Oreochromis niloticus: one gene and its partner. The protein of the gene in region 1 purifies or fractionates together with the protein of each later gene. This does not show direct contact. Links are inferred from orthologs where the notes say so. Each region holds a gene or a part of one and is shown in the gene's direction. Other genes may lie near its edges.

Evidence for each region.
Region 2: the proteins of heatr3 (region 1) and tmem186 purify together in Homo sapiens (co-immunoprecipitation; 3 studies listed by BioGRID and IntAct, counting the BioPlex papers as one, with this or other methods). This does not show direct contact. The link is inferred for Oreochromis niloticus from reciprocal best matches to the Homo sapiens genes HEATR3 and TMEM186.

What each region holds. Positions count from the first base shown.
Region 1 is NC_031965.2:31,698,687-31,702,607, reverse strand, and holds the start of heatr3 (HEAT repeat-containing protein 3), read left to right. Parts: upstream 1-1,390; 5' UTR 1,391-1,533; coding exon 1,534-1,674; intron 1,675-1,946; coding exon 1,947-2,119; intron 2,120-3,921. Other genes in the region: cnep1r1 (nuclear envelope phosphatase-regulatory subunit 1), read left to right, coding at 744-798, 890-931. UniProt on the Homo sapiens protein: Plays a role in ribosome biogenesis and in nuclear import of the 60S ribosomal protein L5/large ribosomal subunit protein uL18 (RPL5). Required for proper erythrocyte maturation.
Region 2 is NC_031971.2:30,541,500-30,545,420, reverse strand, and holds the start of tmem186 (transmembrane protein 186), read left to right. Parts: upstream 1-1,177; 5' UTR 1,178-1,249; coding exon 1,250-1,252; intron 1,253-2,665; coding exon 2,666-3,328; 3' UTR 3,329-3,921. Other genes in the region: gde1 (glycerophosphodiester phosphodiesterase 1), read right to left, coding at 457-726. UniProt on the Homo sapiens protein: As part of the MCIA complex, required for efficient assembly of the mitochondrial complex I.

The sequences.
Region 1 (3,921 bases):
GAGAACATCTGGAGGGAAAAATCTTACTTTTAGTTTTAAATAAGTATCTTATTAAATGAAATAACTTGAAATGTTTGCCACATTGGCCATCCTGTCAACTCATATTTTCTCTTCCCACTGGAGAGATGATTCAGTCTAGTTCCTGCCTTAGTTCTGCCCATAGTCTATATTTATAAAGCTTTCTTTCCTATTATAAGTAAACAGGCTTCAAACAAGACAACAGCTTGATAAGAAGCAGTGTAGTGGTCAGAGTCCACATGTGGGTTTAACAGCCTGTTGTTGAAGGCTCAAAACCATATCAGGAGATTATGTCATGAAATAGAAAATGCACTGTTAATCAGGATTTGCACTGCACTTGTCAGCTATGTTAATTACTTTATTTGATGTGAATGAACTTTGGTTTCATAAAGGGTGGTCTGGTGTACATTTTGTTTAGGAGGTTATTAAAGCACTGAAAGCACCTTTCTTTAGTATTTAGAGAATTTGACCAGCTCTTTTGGGGTTCCATGCAGATACCTCTAGGTCACTTCATTCACCTTCCTAAACAGCCTGTTTGACTGAAATCCCATTATCTTTGTCACAGTAAAGAATTGAGTTTATTGATCTCTCAATAGTTTCTTTTCTTGTACACCGTATCAGTAGCAGATATCCAAAGCCAAGTTTTGTCAGGTTTAGGAACATCACATAGTGGATTCATTCCTATTTTCATTCCTGGTTATTGTCTTTAACCGTTACCCCTGCAGTATTGCTGCTCGCTGCCGCACAGTTTTAGCAGAATACAACATGTCCTGTGATGATGTGAGTCAACATGGTGATTTTTATTTTTTTTACAATTTTACTAAAATTTAAGTTTTGGGGTTTTTTTTAATTTTTCCTTGTCTTTTTGCAGACGGGGAAACTTATTCTGAAACCACGACCAAACATCCAGTGACCACACGCTCCTGGGTTCTGTCAGGCCTCATCTTTGTTGATTGCCTTCTTGTCTTTAATTCCTTTGGATGCTCTTAGATGAAGCATGATGGGAAATGCATTTCCAGCAAAGAAATGAACTGAGAGGGCCCTTTTCTTTTCTTTTCTTTTCTTTTTTTTTTAACAGTGTTGCTGTGTTGTCATCATTGAAGCTGCTGATTTGCTCATGTAACCTTTGATATATTTTACACATTCAGAGTGAGGGTATATTTCTGTTTCTGTTGAGCATGTATTTTATCTAAAATATTTCTATTTTAAAGGTTATTTGCCTAATAAATAAATTCATAAGACGTGGGAATATCAGAGCTGTCTCTTTATTTCTTGTTGCCTTCTCCCATCCTTCCTATGCAGTTTGTTACATGCGTAGTCCGTGCGCTTTTGCGACAGTGTCGTGCTTTCTCTTAGCAACCAACACTTTACGGCAGGGAACAGTCTTCCACATGGCCTCCAACAAGGCAGAAGCCGGAGCGTGTGTTTGATCCTCAACAACCCCAGTGTCAGAGAAAAGAGGAGGGAGTAAACACCGCGTTATACGCGCAACTCGCACTTTAATAATCACGTGAAATGGGTAAAAGTAAAACCAATAAGTTTAAACGTCCCCAGTTCAACTCGGTCGGGCTGCCGGTGACTGCGGTGAAGGAAGGAGACGGCGAGGAGGAAGAGCATGGTGATGATAGCTGTCCAGCTGCGGAGTTGCTTGAGAAAGTAGGGACATACACTGCTTCTTCTTACATGAATGTCTCTAACTTTGAACGTTTCAAAGCTCCTATTTTTGCAATTTCTAGCATTTTCTTTAAAGATTATTGCGCCCCACTTTATATTCTGTGATTTAAATGGCCTTACGTATAGCGATCAGTTTATTGATTTTATATTTCGTGTTACAAAAGGTCACCTGGTGATAGTTGAATGAACACACAGTACTTCAGATTTTGAACAGCTGGTGTCACGTGCTAACGTGCTAAACACGTTTCCTATAGTTGCAGAGCCCCAGCGCTGATGTGCGAGAGTTTGCATGTGCCAGTATTTCTCGGGTGGTGCAGCAGAGTCAGACCATTCCGGGTTTCCTCCAGAGGGATGCTGTTAGGCGCCTGGGTCCCATGTTGCTGGACCGGAGCCTGGCTGTCAGAGAGACTGCCACTGGAGCTCTCAGGTGAGTCTGAGTGTAACAAATAATCTGGGTTCCTGTCACTTGACGAAGACCTGGACCACTCGGGTCATCTCACAAGTTTAAAAAGTTATCAACACGTGTGACCTATTTTGTTGCTAGAATGGGCCATTTTAGTGCTGGGGTCACCATAAAACATATTAGAACTTTTCTGTGTTGTCAGTTTGCAGTGATTTGTATGAGCAAGGGCACGAAGAGAAGTGGCAGTCTCTGGTGGAGGTATAAGATTAGGGATGGTCGACCAAAACAGAACATCATTGGCGTAGTTAAAGTAGGAGGTGATAAGGAATGAGTGAGGGTTCCAGCTGCAGAGTTTGAGAATAAAGGTTTTAGTCTGGACATGTGTTCTTGAAGGCAGATTTAGAGATAGATTTGATGATGTTGACCTCCAGAGGACCTCCCTCTTCGGGAGCTTTGAATTGGGAACCACAACCAAGACTTCAGTTTGCTGACATTCAAATTCTGATGTCTTTTTAGTCAGTTTACAAGGCACAGAGGAGGGAAGTGACTGCTATGCTGATGATAACTGTGTATCATCAGCATAGCAGTGGAAGCTCAGCCCATGGTAATGGATGATCTGACCAGTGATGATGTGACAAATTAAAGGGCCGACAACTGGTAAACAGATGATGAGTTGTAGGTGCCCAAGGCTCCATGAAGCACATGCGCAGCAAATTGTTGCTAACAGAAGAGCTAATGAAACTTGCTGAAAACCTCAAAGAGCCAGTTCCTGGCATGAGTTGTTGCCAGAGTTGTTTCAATGGCAGGTGTGGGACCCTCACATTATTATTCTGGCTGTTTAAACCTCCTGTGGTTAACAGTTTAGTTGTATGTAGATACTTTGCGATGGAGTGAGAATCATCAAAAAGAGGCTGTTTATGCTAGCAAGACAATGCTTTTAATATTTATTCTCTCGATTACAGCAAGTGAGAAAGTTTATTACTTGACCACATGCCTCAGCTTAATTTCTCTCCCATTTGTGTGACCCAGATTACTAATTGACGTTAGTAACGTCAGTGCTTCTCCTGCTTTGAAGAGAGTCAGGTGCAGGTAGAGGGAAGTCAGTTGTCAGTCACATGCTTCTGCAGTTTTTAAAAGTGTGTTATTGGATAATAAAAAAAATTAATCACATTGTGCCATTTCATTGTGCTGCCTTATATATTTTAGTTTACCTGCTACACATGCTTTTTGCTTATATGCATAATACATGTATTGTGTGCTAGTTTTTAGTGAGCACTGTTGATACTGCAACAGAAAATGCAGAAAGCTAAGAAATGTGTTTAAAAAAGGTTGCTATACTTAAAGAAAGTGAAACAAAAGCCCCGGAAAACATTAGAAAATGTAATCATGGCTCTTTTCTTCCAATCACTTCAGTCAGTGTGGTGTTACAGAACTGACCTTTTCTAGGACTTCACAGAGAGAGGTGCATATAAGAATACAAATAGCACAGCTCATAGTCCAGTGCGTTTACCTCTGTTGAGTGGGTGGCATTTGTTGGCTTCTACACACTATCCAGTGAGCTGCTTTGCCTAAACCCATCCTTGCATCCCTTTTCTTAACTGCTTATCCACCTCAGAATCATGAGTGGACTGGAGCCTATCCCAAGTGTCGTGGGGTGAAAGCTGAGATGTAGCCTGAACATGTCAGCAGTCTAGTATGGCTAACACAGACAGACGGACAACCAGTTTAGAAATCACAAGTTGACCTACCGTGGATGTCTTTGGACTGTGGAAGGAAACTGGATTATCCAGAGAGAACCCACACAGACTCAAGGAGAACATCCAAAC
Region 2 (3,921 bases), on another chromosome or scaffold:
ACACTAAAAAGCACTAGCAGGTGTATTTTTGAGGTGTAATTTCTGGCTCAGCACACTCGCACCTCATATACACCTGATATAAGCATGTGGTCTGTATTTGATATCTTTATTTGTATAAATTAAAACCAATACATGGGACTACGCATATCCAGATGGTATTAGATTAATTATTACTCACATCTCTTTACTTTATCTCAACATGCAGATTAGTTAAACGAGGCTGGCTAGTTGGGAACTGGCTGATAACATTGTGATAGAAGGTGCTGCTGGAACAGTGGTGGCCTTAAAATGCATGTTCTCTGTGCTGATAAGTTATCCAGATACAAACTGGGTGTGAATACCAGAAGTTAAAGACATCGCAGTAGTTCCCCTTGCAACCACTGCCATAAAAAAAGAAACAAAAAAGGGCATATGAAGGATTATCGCTCCAAAACCCTCCCCACCTCATTCTCTCACCTCTCGGATAGATGCTATCGTGTTCTCCGGTGCATCGTGCCCGCCGCCCCGGTGAGCGACCACCGACACCTTGCCGGTGCCCGCCGTGCCCTTGACTGGGTGGAGCACCTTCTGGGTTCGGCTGGATGGTACCTGTGGGAAGCGGAACATGGCTAGAAAGAGGTAGAGAGAGGCGGTGAGGACCACTGTCCACACCGGGCTTCGGGTCCCCAGCAGGATCCCCACGAAGATAAGGGAGTACAGGGTCGCTTCATCTCCCAGCTGGACCATCGTTGTCCTGTCTTTGTCTTCTCCACCTGTCCCACAGCAGAAAATAGCACCTGGCAGGAAATGTTCCGCATTTAAGGTGTGGGACGTTTACTGTCCTAATTTTAGTTTCTTTAAACGACCTAAATGAGATAAGAACATGTTTTGCCCGGCGATAAAACACTCATTACCAAGAGACAGTCCCCTGTCCGCGACTTAAAGGGAACTGCTGATTTACGCTTCCCGTTCCGCATTTAAGCTAACACCCCCAAAATGAATTAGATTTATTCAAAATTATAATAAAATTGTAATTATTATTCTCACTGAGCTGTTACAGAGCGATCATTGACAGCTTTCTCACAGGATGTCTCGGAACAAAAAAAAGAAATAATTAAACATACATTAACATAAAAACGAGACGTTAAAGGTGAGCACATCCGGGTCACACCGCATAACTGCTTCCTGTTAGCGCTCGTTCAAGTCATGTCATTTCGTGATCCATCTTTCTTGTTTCTGCGTTTTTCTTTCATTTAGCTGGTCTCTGATCATGGTAAGCCTCGTTTTATATGCAAGCTCTTATCCAGCATTGACTGTTATTATCAGTAAGATTAATTTTTAGCCACACAAGGTCATTAGTGCTGTGGCAGGGCTGTGTGTTTTCTACAGTCATTGGTGACAGCTCAGTCAGGACATGTGCACCTTCAGGTTCTTTTATTCCACACAGCGGCTACACAACAGCTGCTGTACATGTACTGCAAGTGTTCGTCTGGGTATACCTCTTGTATTTTTTTAAGCAACTGCATAATATTATATTTTGTATATTACTGCAATAGCAACGTACAGTGCACAAAATAAGTGAAGTAGAGAGTACAGGAAGGCTGAGATGAGGGTCTGGGGTGATTTATGGCAGCAAGAGTGAAGGGGAAGGTTTGCAAGATGGTAGTGATGCTATGATGTATGGTTTGGACATGATGGCACTGGCAAAAAGATCGGAGGTGGAAGAGTTGTAAGAGCTTCATAGGGAGAGATCAGAATGGACAAAATTAGGAATGAGCGCATCAGAGGGAAAGGTCAGGTTCAACAGTTTAGAGGCAAAGTTAGAGAAGCAAAGCTGAGATGGTTTGGACATGTGCAGAGGAGGGATAATGGATATATTGGATAAAAGATGTTGAAGATGGAGTTGCCAGGCAGAAGCAAAAAAGAGGATATTTAGATATGACCGAGGATATACCAGGGTGAGGTGGAGGCAAATTATCTGCTGTGGTGACCTAAATGAGCCAAAAAAGTGCTTCCCTCATATTTTACCACCTGGCTTGATGAAGAGCTAAACCTGATCTTTTACAGTATTGGTTTCCAGATGGTATGCCTAGAGGCAAGTCCTCATTTGCTAATGTGGTAACAAGCAATCTATTTTCCTTCTGTGAGAAACTTTACCTACTGTCAAAGAGCTCAACCGTGTCTGTTAAACTAAATGGATGCAAGTTATATGCGAGTGGAGCTTATTTCCAGCCATAGAGCTGGAGCGGACGGGTTTGTGAACTGGTGTGCAGAGTACCACCTGCACAAAGTGGAGGATTCTATATCAGCTGGAGATGAGACCCCTATTACTATACATGTCCATGCCATTAGACGGGTTATGTGGTACAAATACTTACAGGTATACATTGATAATGCACTTGCTTAGAACACACATGTGGAAAATGTGTATGAGAATCCATCAATGTCTTCATTTTCTCCAGACTCCATTTATTTATTTATTTATTTATTTATTTATTTATTTATTAAATAAGGCCATTGTAGAGTTACATTATGCCATCAGTAGTTGTTTTGGAACAGGTCTTTATCTGATCCCCCACATGTGTTGTTCTCTGAGATTGTATTGATGAACCCTGGTAGGAAATACTGACAGAGAATAACATGTCATATTGAATTTATCTGTTTGATGTTATTTATTTTTCTACAGATCAGGTCGCTTCTTCGGTGCAGATTAACTCCCCACGTCCTGTCCTTCACCAGAGGATCAAGTCTGTTCGCAGCTCGAACACCTTACAGTTTGCAGCCTTGTTCACCAAGTCTCAGGCCAATTCAGCAGCGCCTACATGGACCTGTTATCCCTAAAATCACAGCCCTTGTTAATTACTCGGATGTGTCCACACAGAAGTACACTATGATTTACACCCTGCCATACATTAAGCTCCTTCGAGCTGTGTCCAGGCTCAAACTCCTCCAAACTGCAATAACTGTGGTCCTCTTGCCCCCGGTGTACGTCCTCTACTTCCAGGGAGCTGCCTCCGCCTTTCTTGTCGGCTACACGACAGGGATAGCTCTGTTTGCTGGTGTTATGCTGTATACTGCCAGTTACTTCTTCAGAAGGGTGGTGGGAATGATGTATCTGGATCCATCTCAGACCACGCTCAAAGTGTCCCACCTCACTTTCTGGGGAAAGCGCCATGATATGTACCTGCCAGTGTCAGATGTCATGACCATTGGAGACACAGGGGACTCCGTAAATGAGACCATACTGAAATTTAAGAGATACAGCAGTGCGGAGACTCTGTATTTCTCAACTCATTTTGGACGTGTGGTGGATGAACAGGCTTTTAAAAAAGTGTTTGGAAGTTTTTAAAATGATTATTTGTTTAAAAGAAAATGTGGAGTATTCTGAATAGTATTATCAAAATATAACATGTTAAGAGATGCATCTATTGTCCATGAACAATATTCTAAATGAAAACACATTATACAGCTTGCTGTTATATTTTATATCTAAGATATTTTAGCTGACATAGATCTGAATCATCCACAGTTGATAAATTACTGGTTTATTATTATTTTTCTTTTTTTATCTTAATTAAGGTTGAGAAGTAAGATTGCAGATTTAAAAAAAAAAAAAAAAAATCTGGACCCTAACCCTAACCCTGTGGTAGGTTAACAGTTGTCTACTAAATGGTGACTATGTATGCAGCTGAAATAAAAAAATCAAGTGAGATTGGCCTAACATTGTCCGAATATTCATGTTGCATCATTAGACCATGATAGGATAGCTCCACGGGTCACATGTCCTTCTTGCTGCAAGCTCCAAAGAAGTTGTCTCCTCCTGATATTGATTTTTTTTGTGTGTGTTAGGTTAAAGTGTAAACCTTAAAACTGTTATTATGTAAAATGCATTTTTCAACATTGTTTTTGATTGGGCTAGGGTTAGGGCATCCTGGCTGTAGA